Arabidopsis thaliana: one gene and its partner. The protein of the gene in region 1 interacts with the protein of each later gene in a biochemical or structural test. Each region holds a gene or a part of one and is shown on either strand. Other genes may lie near its edges.

The links.
Region 2: the proteins of AT4G31570 (region 1) and AT3G01130 form a complex in vitro, tested with the Arabidopsis thaliana proteins (one study listed by BioGRID).

What each region holds. Positions count from the first base shown.
Region 1 is NC_003075.7:15,294,728-15,298,482, forward strand, and holds the start of AT4G31570 (nucleoporin), read left to right. Parts: upstream 1-1,723; 5' UTR 1,724-1,934; intron 1,935-2,226; exon of another isoform or gene 2,227-2,255; 5' UTR 2,256-2,333; coding exon 2,334-2,384; intron 2,385-2,603; coding exon 2,604-3,270; intron 3,271-3,407; coding exon 3,408-3,755. Other genes in the region: HCF153 (high chlorophyll fluorescence 153), read left to right, coding at 492-776, 1,173-1,301.
Region 2 is NC_003074.8:43,979-47,733, forward strand, and holds AT3G01130 (ATP synthase E chain), read right to left. Parts: upstream 1,832-3,755; 5' UTR 1,545-1,831; coding exon 1,497-1,544; intron 1,400-1,496; coding exon 1,256-1,399; 3' UTR 1,235-1,255; coding exon of another isoform or gene 1,199-1,234; 3' UTR 972-1,198; coding exon of another isoform or gene 933-971; 3' UTR 925-932; exon of another isoform or gene 784-924; coding exon of another isoform or gene 736-783; 3' UTR 67-735; downstream 1-66. Other genes in the region: MYB106 (myb domain protein 106), read right to left, coding at 2,641-3,062, 3,140-3,492, 3,581-3,710.

The sequences.
Region 1 (3,755 bases):
ATATATTGGTTGACTTTGTGTTAAATAATGATGGGATTATATTAAGAAAAACTTGTTAAATGAATATCAGAATCAATAATCGTATCAATTAGACAACTTGATTAAGATTTGATTCTGGTCAGTAAAATATATGAAACATGCTCCATATGCTATCATATCTTCAATAAAATAAACGAATTGAAGACGAGTATATCGCTATCATGGCAGGTTCCAATTAGTTATCTCCATCCTCTTTTTTGTTTCCACAAAGGAGCCACTTTGTGTTCTTTATTTTTGAAAATGTTTGATTGGTTAATTAACCAAGTGAAGTTGTAATACTATTATGCAAGAATTAATTGCAGCACTCTATGGGTTTCGTAATTTGGTTAATAGTTTAATGGGCCTCGTACAAGTCAGCCCATTGGATATATTTCAGATTAATCGGGTCGGGTCACAAATGATTATCCTTGTTGCCTTGCCTTTGCCAATCGTTTGTTTCCAAAATAAAAATCATGGCGAGACTTTTCGTCTCTATCCCTATGCAACCCACACAAATAAGCTTCCCTGCGTCTTCTTCTCAGCCACTATTATCTCCGCCGGCGAACAATTTCACCGATGGTGGAGCTGGGGGATTATGTCTTACACGGAGAATCAGAGACAGTTCCGTGGTGACGCGAGCAGGGCCTAGTACGAGCAGCTACTTGCTCGCGTTCGCCATTCCTGCTACTCTTATCGCCGCCACTGTCTTCACTTCAATCAAAATCGCTGACAAACTCGACGAAGATTTCCTTGAGGATGTAAGATCCTTCAATCTTCGTCATATCTAATTCAGATTCGATTTTTGTCTAGCTCTCTAGTGTTTTACCTTGCTTTAGGTCTAGTTTGTCTCAGTCTTAGTTTAGGTAATCGTGGTTAAGCAAATTTTATTTGGGGGAAACAATTAAGCAAATGACTAACTTTTGAATTTTGGGTTGAATTGGTTCAAGTTGTTGAATTAACGGCATCGTTAGAAAGTAAGAGATAATCACATCCTCTAAGAGCGCATTGCAATCTAATAGAATTGAATCTATCTCTTTCTGGAAGGAGCTCATTCTTATATCCTTGAGGTGGAATGGATAGAAACAGTGTTATTGTATCATCTATAAGGTCTGTAAAACTAACTGCTTTGTACTATTATTTTTCTGCTTCTGTAGATTGCGTTGAACCAAGCGATAAAAGCAGCAGAAAAGGGAGAGAATGGAGAAGGTGATATCTCACTGGACGATGTGATTCAAGAACCTGTGCTTCAACGAACACGTAACCGGCCTAAACGTGAAGTTTAAAAACGCACACACAGCTTCTTCATGATGGGAATAGACGTTGTAACTGTAATACATGTTGTGTTTTGTATAAGAAAATTTAAGCGTGTAGCCTTTCCTAGTCCCGTTTATAGTTGTAGTTACTGGTTTTACATTACCGTTTGATCATTTTGTAAAGAAAAAACGGATGATGAATCAAAAACCTCATTACAGTTACCATTTTAAGTTGAGAGCAGATTATTTTATTGTGGCCGAGCTTTCTTCTGCTGTAAATTTGTAATTTTGGAAGAAATAGAAGGACATCTTTTGTATGCTTCCATTGACCAAATACTGTTTCGTGTAATCGTCTAATCCGTTTTAGATTGGGCTTTTAAGGCCCAGTATGAGTTGTCTCTTTACTTTTGAAGTAGTAGTGTTTAGGAATTCTTCTCTTCGCTTCAAATCGACGTCTGTGTGAGGTTAAATCGCGTCGCGTTTTCATCTAGCAGTTTTTTTTGGTTCAAACGAACGAGACACACCAGCTAAAGGCCATTTGCGTTAGATCTAAGGAGAGAGCGACGTATACGTGGTTTCAAGCAAATTCTCCACGGGAAGGAGATTAACGAGCAAAGTCGATTTCAGTCTCCTTTGTGGAGTTTTCTCTTCAACGCATCGAGGGTATGGTTTAGCTCAGTTTCGTGATTTCTAGCGTGTTATTCATCGAGTTCCTGTGTGTAATTTGATGATCTCCAATTGTGGTTATTGGAAACGAGTTTGGATTTAGCTTCTGATGGGTTTGTTTTTCAATTGAATCTGGAGATTGATTTTCGTTTAGCTGCTGCACAATTTGGGTCTGTTTTTTTACAAAATTTAAAGCCACACAAGCTTTTTATTTGTCTTGTTCATAATTCTAAGCCACTATATTTGTGTCGGTATCATATAAGTTTTGTGAAATTTAGCTCAGTTTTCTTTGTTGTGATTGGATTCTGCGTCAATCAGGTGGCACGAACCATGGTTATCTAAACTTGGTGGTGATCCACGAAGAGTCATTGTGGGAACAAGAACACAGTGAATCGAATGGACAAGAAAAAGAACCGTGCTGATCCGCTTGCTGCTGGGCGCCAGAAGGTTAGCTTCGTTGTCCTTAAACCTACCTCTTTGGAATTTGGGTAAAGTTGCTTAGTTATCACAAATGTCAGTGAGAAGAGAGAGAGAGAGAGAGAGAGAGAGAGTTTTACCCAACTTGTCTCTACTTGATTACTTGTCCTGCCTAGATTTATATATATATAGATAGAGAAACATTGGATGAAAATGTTTTAATCGCTTAGTTTCGTATCCTCATTTCAGCTTCAACAATTTCGTCAAAAGAAGGCTGACAAAGGCACTGATCAGAAAAAGGACTCCAAAGGCAGTACAAGCCAAGGCAAATCCTCCAAAAAATCTAATAAATCTGAGAAGCATGAGCGTAAACCTGACACTAGTGCTGTCAGTGACGAGGCACAAGCTCCATCCCCTGTGACTGTAGGAGGAGCTACATCTCATGTGAATGTTGCTGAGGAGGTTGTCGATTCTCCACAAACTTCTTCAGATACAAAAGCTCACGAATATGTTTCAGTCCATGGTTCCTCATCAGAGCCTGATGCGCTTCAGCCAGGACACACCACTTCTAATGATGGATCTGAAGCGAGAAAAGAAGTAGTTAATTCTGAAAATGATATCAGTAAATCTTTATCCACTGAAGAAGAGAATGTGAAGTCTATCAACAGTGGAGTGGCTGGCACAGTGGATTCTTTGATATCTGACCCTGCAGATTCTGAGAAGGGAGTTACACATGACGATGCATCTAATGTTGATGGAATCTTTGCTGCTTCTGGAAACATAGCGGAGGGGGAAGGTGTTGAAGTTGAAGGTGGTTCTGGGAATGTGGAAAAGCCGCATCAGCCATCCTCTCTCCAAGAATATATTCCTGATGTTTCCTTGATTCGTGCAAGGGGAGATCAGGTAACTGATGTAGGTTGTTCTCTCCTTCTCTTCATGCTTCTCTCTTCAATCATTTTCTTTATTACCTTTTCTCTGATAAGGGTAAAGAGGTTATGTCTATTGCATGCGACCTTTTGATGTATAATTAAGTTCTCATTTGTTTCTGGGTAGGGGAAATGCAGGAAGAAGACATGGAGCAGTTTTCTGAATTATCTGCAAAGGCAGGCGTGGATAAGATTGCAACTGAAGAAAGGCAAACAAGCTATCCAGCTGTTGTGGATTCATCTGCTTCTCCTTCACACTTTTCAGAGGGATCCTCAGTTGCCTTTGATACAGTTGAACTAGAAGGTATAAATGGTAATTTTAGAAGCCAACAGATTAGAGAAGCTGCAGAGCTTAACGAAGAGAAACCAGAAACATCTATTGATTTTCCTAATAACAGAGATCACGTGCTTTCAGCTGAACCTGAGGAAAGCTCTGTTGCAGAAATGGCCAGTCAGCTGCAATTGCCTGAGAGCG
Region 2 (3,755 bases), on another chromosome or scaffold:
ATTGTAGTGTTCATGGTATGGTTTTGAATATTCTATGGATAGTGATTTTAAAGTTTCAAGATGGGAATATAAATGATGATTTGATTATTCAAACTAGACATAGAACGCCATATAGAGAAACTCTTCTCAAAATCTCAAAGAAGATACTCATCTTGTAACCTTTAATTTTGGGTGCAAACATTTAGGTTTCTACAATAAGTTCAAATAACTTAATAAATTGTAGAGAATGAAAGAGAACAGAAAAAGGCATTTAAGAATGCCTCTATTACGTGAGAAAGAGAGACAGCGAATGTGTGAGTGTGACCAATGTTCGAAGCCACGACCTTGTATAGCTCGAACACAACTTGTTCTTGCCACCAAGCAGTGACCACATTGGTCGTCCTGAATAGCCAACTGCTTACTTTTAACTCTGCGCCACGGCGGATATTTATTTATTTTAATTGAAAACAAAAAAAATTCTTTTTTTTTTTTTTTTTTTTTTATAAATTATTTATCTGGTTAAGATGATAAAAATATGGTGTTTATTGAATAGCAGGAAAGTACCAAAGAAGAACTCAGGTTTAAACCAAAACGGGTATACGATTGCTTTGTCAGACAGAAGATTTTGATTAAAAAAACAGAAAGATGGAAAAAATGTCACCGAGGGAGATATAGCTTAAGGAGGAAAAGAACTACATTTAGAGATAACAATCACTTGGCTTCATAATCTTATTGAGAAGGAGAAGAAGAGTTGGTTTAGTGATGAGCCTTTGCTTCGGCCTTAATCTGCGAATTCTTCTTTATCTGCATATGAAGAAGAAGCATTTGTTGGTATCATCATAACTTATTAGCAAATCACATCATAGTAGAAAATTAGATTCCACAATCTGAATGAATAAGGATTGGGATGCTCTAAAGGAAGCAACATAGGCTCTACTTTCATACCGATTTTCTTAGGGTTTGGAAACCAGACACAACATCGCAAACTTATGCTTTACAAAGGCAAGAAATTACATTTCAGTGATCAAGTTGCAAATCATTGACAAACTCTTCTACTAAACATCAAGTCAAAACTATGATCATTCAGTGGAATAGGAGATCAGAACTCAGGCAGAAACATTGGGGTCAAAGAATCATGTTACTTGTGTATAGATGACCAAACCAAAAGGAGCAAAGTAGCATACTAATAGTCACGGCACACATGATTCGATCGAGAATATCATAATTCAAAAGCCATAAACATTCGAATTTGCTGCTATAATGGCAAGTGTCAGATTTAGGATGTCAAAATGAAACCCAATGAAAATAATTTCTCATCTGATAAAAACAAGACAAGGAAGATAGAGAGATGTACCTTTAAAGCCTTGAGCTTGATGTTGCCGTAGATGAGACCCAACCCGAAAGCCGAAGCACGAGCAACCTAAATCGATACCAAAAAGAAAAGACTCGATGAACTCTTCAAAATCCAAAATTCGACAAGTCAAGGCTACAGATCGAGAAATTGATCCGGGGTTTACCAGAGCAAGAGTGCTGGTACCGGAGTAAAGTCCTGGAGGTGGCGCCATTGATTAGCAGTTGAGATTAAACCCTAAAACCCCCAAATCGATCGAATCTTCCGAAATCTCAGATTCGCGATAATGAAAGACCAGAGCGACTCCTTTGTCTCCGTCTTCTCAGAAAAGCAAATTATTGGGCTTTATATGGGCCTTTATTCAATAGTACCAAACGTCAGGCCCATATCCTTCTTACTATTACGCCCAAATTTGCATGCACATTAAGTAAACGATTAAGGATTTACTATCAAATTCGATGGATGTAATGTAACCTTTTGTTAAAAATGTCTTAAGTTTAGTGGACTCGAATCTATTAGTAATATCTGTGTTTTATTACTATGGATCATACTGTATATAAATAAATTTATGATAAAGAAAAGGACATGAAACAACCAAGCATTGAATTTTCTTTCTTTTACTCGACATGTCAACGTGTTGTTGTTATAATTACAGCCTCTTCGTTCAGACATCTCTCATATAGAAAAATTTGAAAATTAGACAAAAATACTCCACAACCGGTGGATAAGTAATATGAATATCTATTTCCTTCAATTGCTTGCACTCAGCAACTTTAAAGAATTATGGAGTGGTTCCAATCCTATATTTTGAAACATCTTATCAATATAAGATTAAGGAAAGCTCAACTTCTATAACTCAATAGTTAAAGCGCCTAATTATTCCCAAAATTAGTAATTTAAATTCGAACAAAGCAATGATACTAAAAAGGATCTTTGTGCCGATAGGCTTTTCAAGAAAGCTCATTCCCAAAACAAAAACGTATTAGGATTTGAAGGAGGATCCCTTATTATGGTTTATGTATTTGGCCAAATGACAACGACGTTATCACTTAAAATATTTTTCTAACAAACTGTATACCAACAACATAAAAGCATAATATATAAATTGTAAATTGGATTTGCAGGTTTGCTACATGCAATTCTGCAAAAACGAATACTAAAATTAAGCTCATTTTCATCCCATATATATATATATATATATATATATAATAGTTTATAAAGAAAATAAAGATAAGTAAAAAGTATTGGAAAGCTATCGACATTTAAAAAACAATCTGAGAATTAAAAATGTTTGGTTGAAGACCCTTAGATCAGAACATCGTCGCGGAATCGGACGGTGAAGAATCAACCAAGTTGAGAATGCTATTCCAGTAATTCTTGTTATCCTCATAGTAGTTATACTCACTCTCATTCCCCACGCCCGCCGTCGCTTCGTTTTTCCCGGTGGGTAAACCCCGGCCGACCGAATCACCGATCAATAGACTCGTGAATCCTTCTCCTATTCCTCCACTACCACAGTTGATCTGCCTAATCCAGTCGTGTTCATGTTCTTTGACCAGACTCACATCGGAGGAGGTTGACGAAGATACGGCCAATTCAATCATCGCCGAGGACTCATTGTTGTTATTGTTTCTATTTCTGCTGCTATCCGTAGGGATTCCTAAAGGCATCAGAAGATTCTCAGAGAATGTCACCGTCGATGTCGGAGATTCAAGCTGTTGGTCTCCGTTTCCTGTCACAATTTTCCATTGATACGTTACCAAAACCAATCAAAGTTGAGAGTTTTTTTTAAGACGATGTGTCCCTTACCTTGGTTTGGTTTAGTCCAGTTTGTTGATGTTTTTTGAGTGAAGCAATGTTGTTGAGGAGCTGCTGATTTGTTAAGGTTGTTATTGTTTTGGTAATGCTGTAAATGGAGAAGCTTTGATTCTCTAGCTAGCCTTGCTTCAGCTTCGAGTCTTGCACTCTCCCATTGAGCCATATGACTAAGCGTGGCTGCGTTCTTTGATTGTCCTGTGGAAGACGAAAGAGTCTCGTTTTTGTGCTTGTGAGTCACTGGATCTATCCCCATTTTGATCAGACGTTTCTTCAAGTGTGTGTTCCAGTAGTTCTTGATCTCGTTGTCTGTCCTCTTTGGTAAATGAGTTGCAATCGCTGACCACCTATGACATTTAAAGGACGACGATCAATTTGCTTTCAAAGCAATCACTTGGTTATTTGGTTTGAAAGCAGAGATTGTGATTGAGTCACCTGTTTCCGAGGAGAGCGTGGAGTTGAATGATGGTTTGTTCTTCTTGTACAGTGAATTTGCCTCTCTTGATGTCAGGTCTTAGGTAGTTAGTCCATCTGAGTCTGCAACTCTTTCCACACCTTTGGAGACCTATAAGGAGTTTGAAGCAAAGCTTTGAATAGAGCTAGAAGAAAA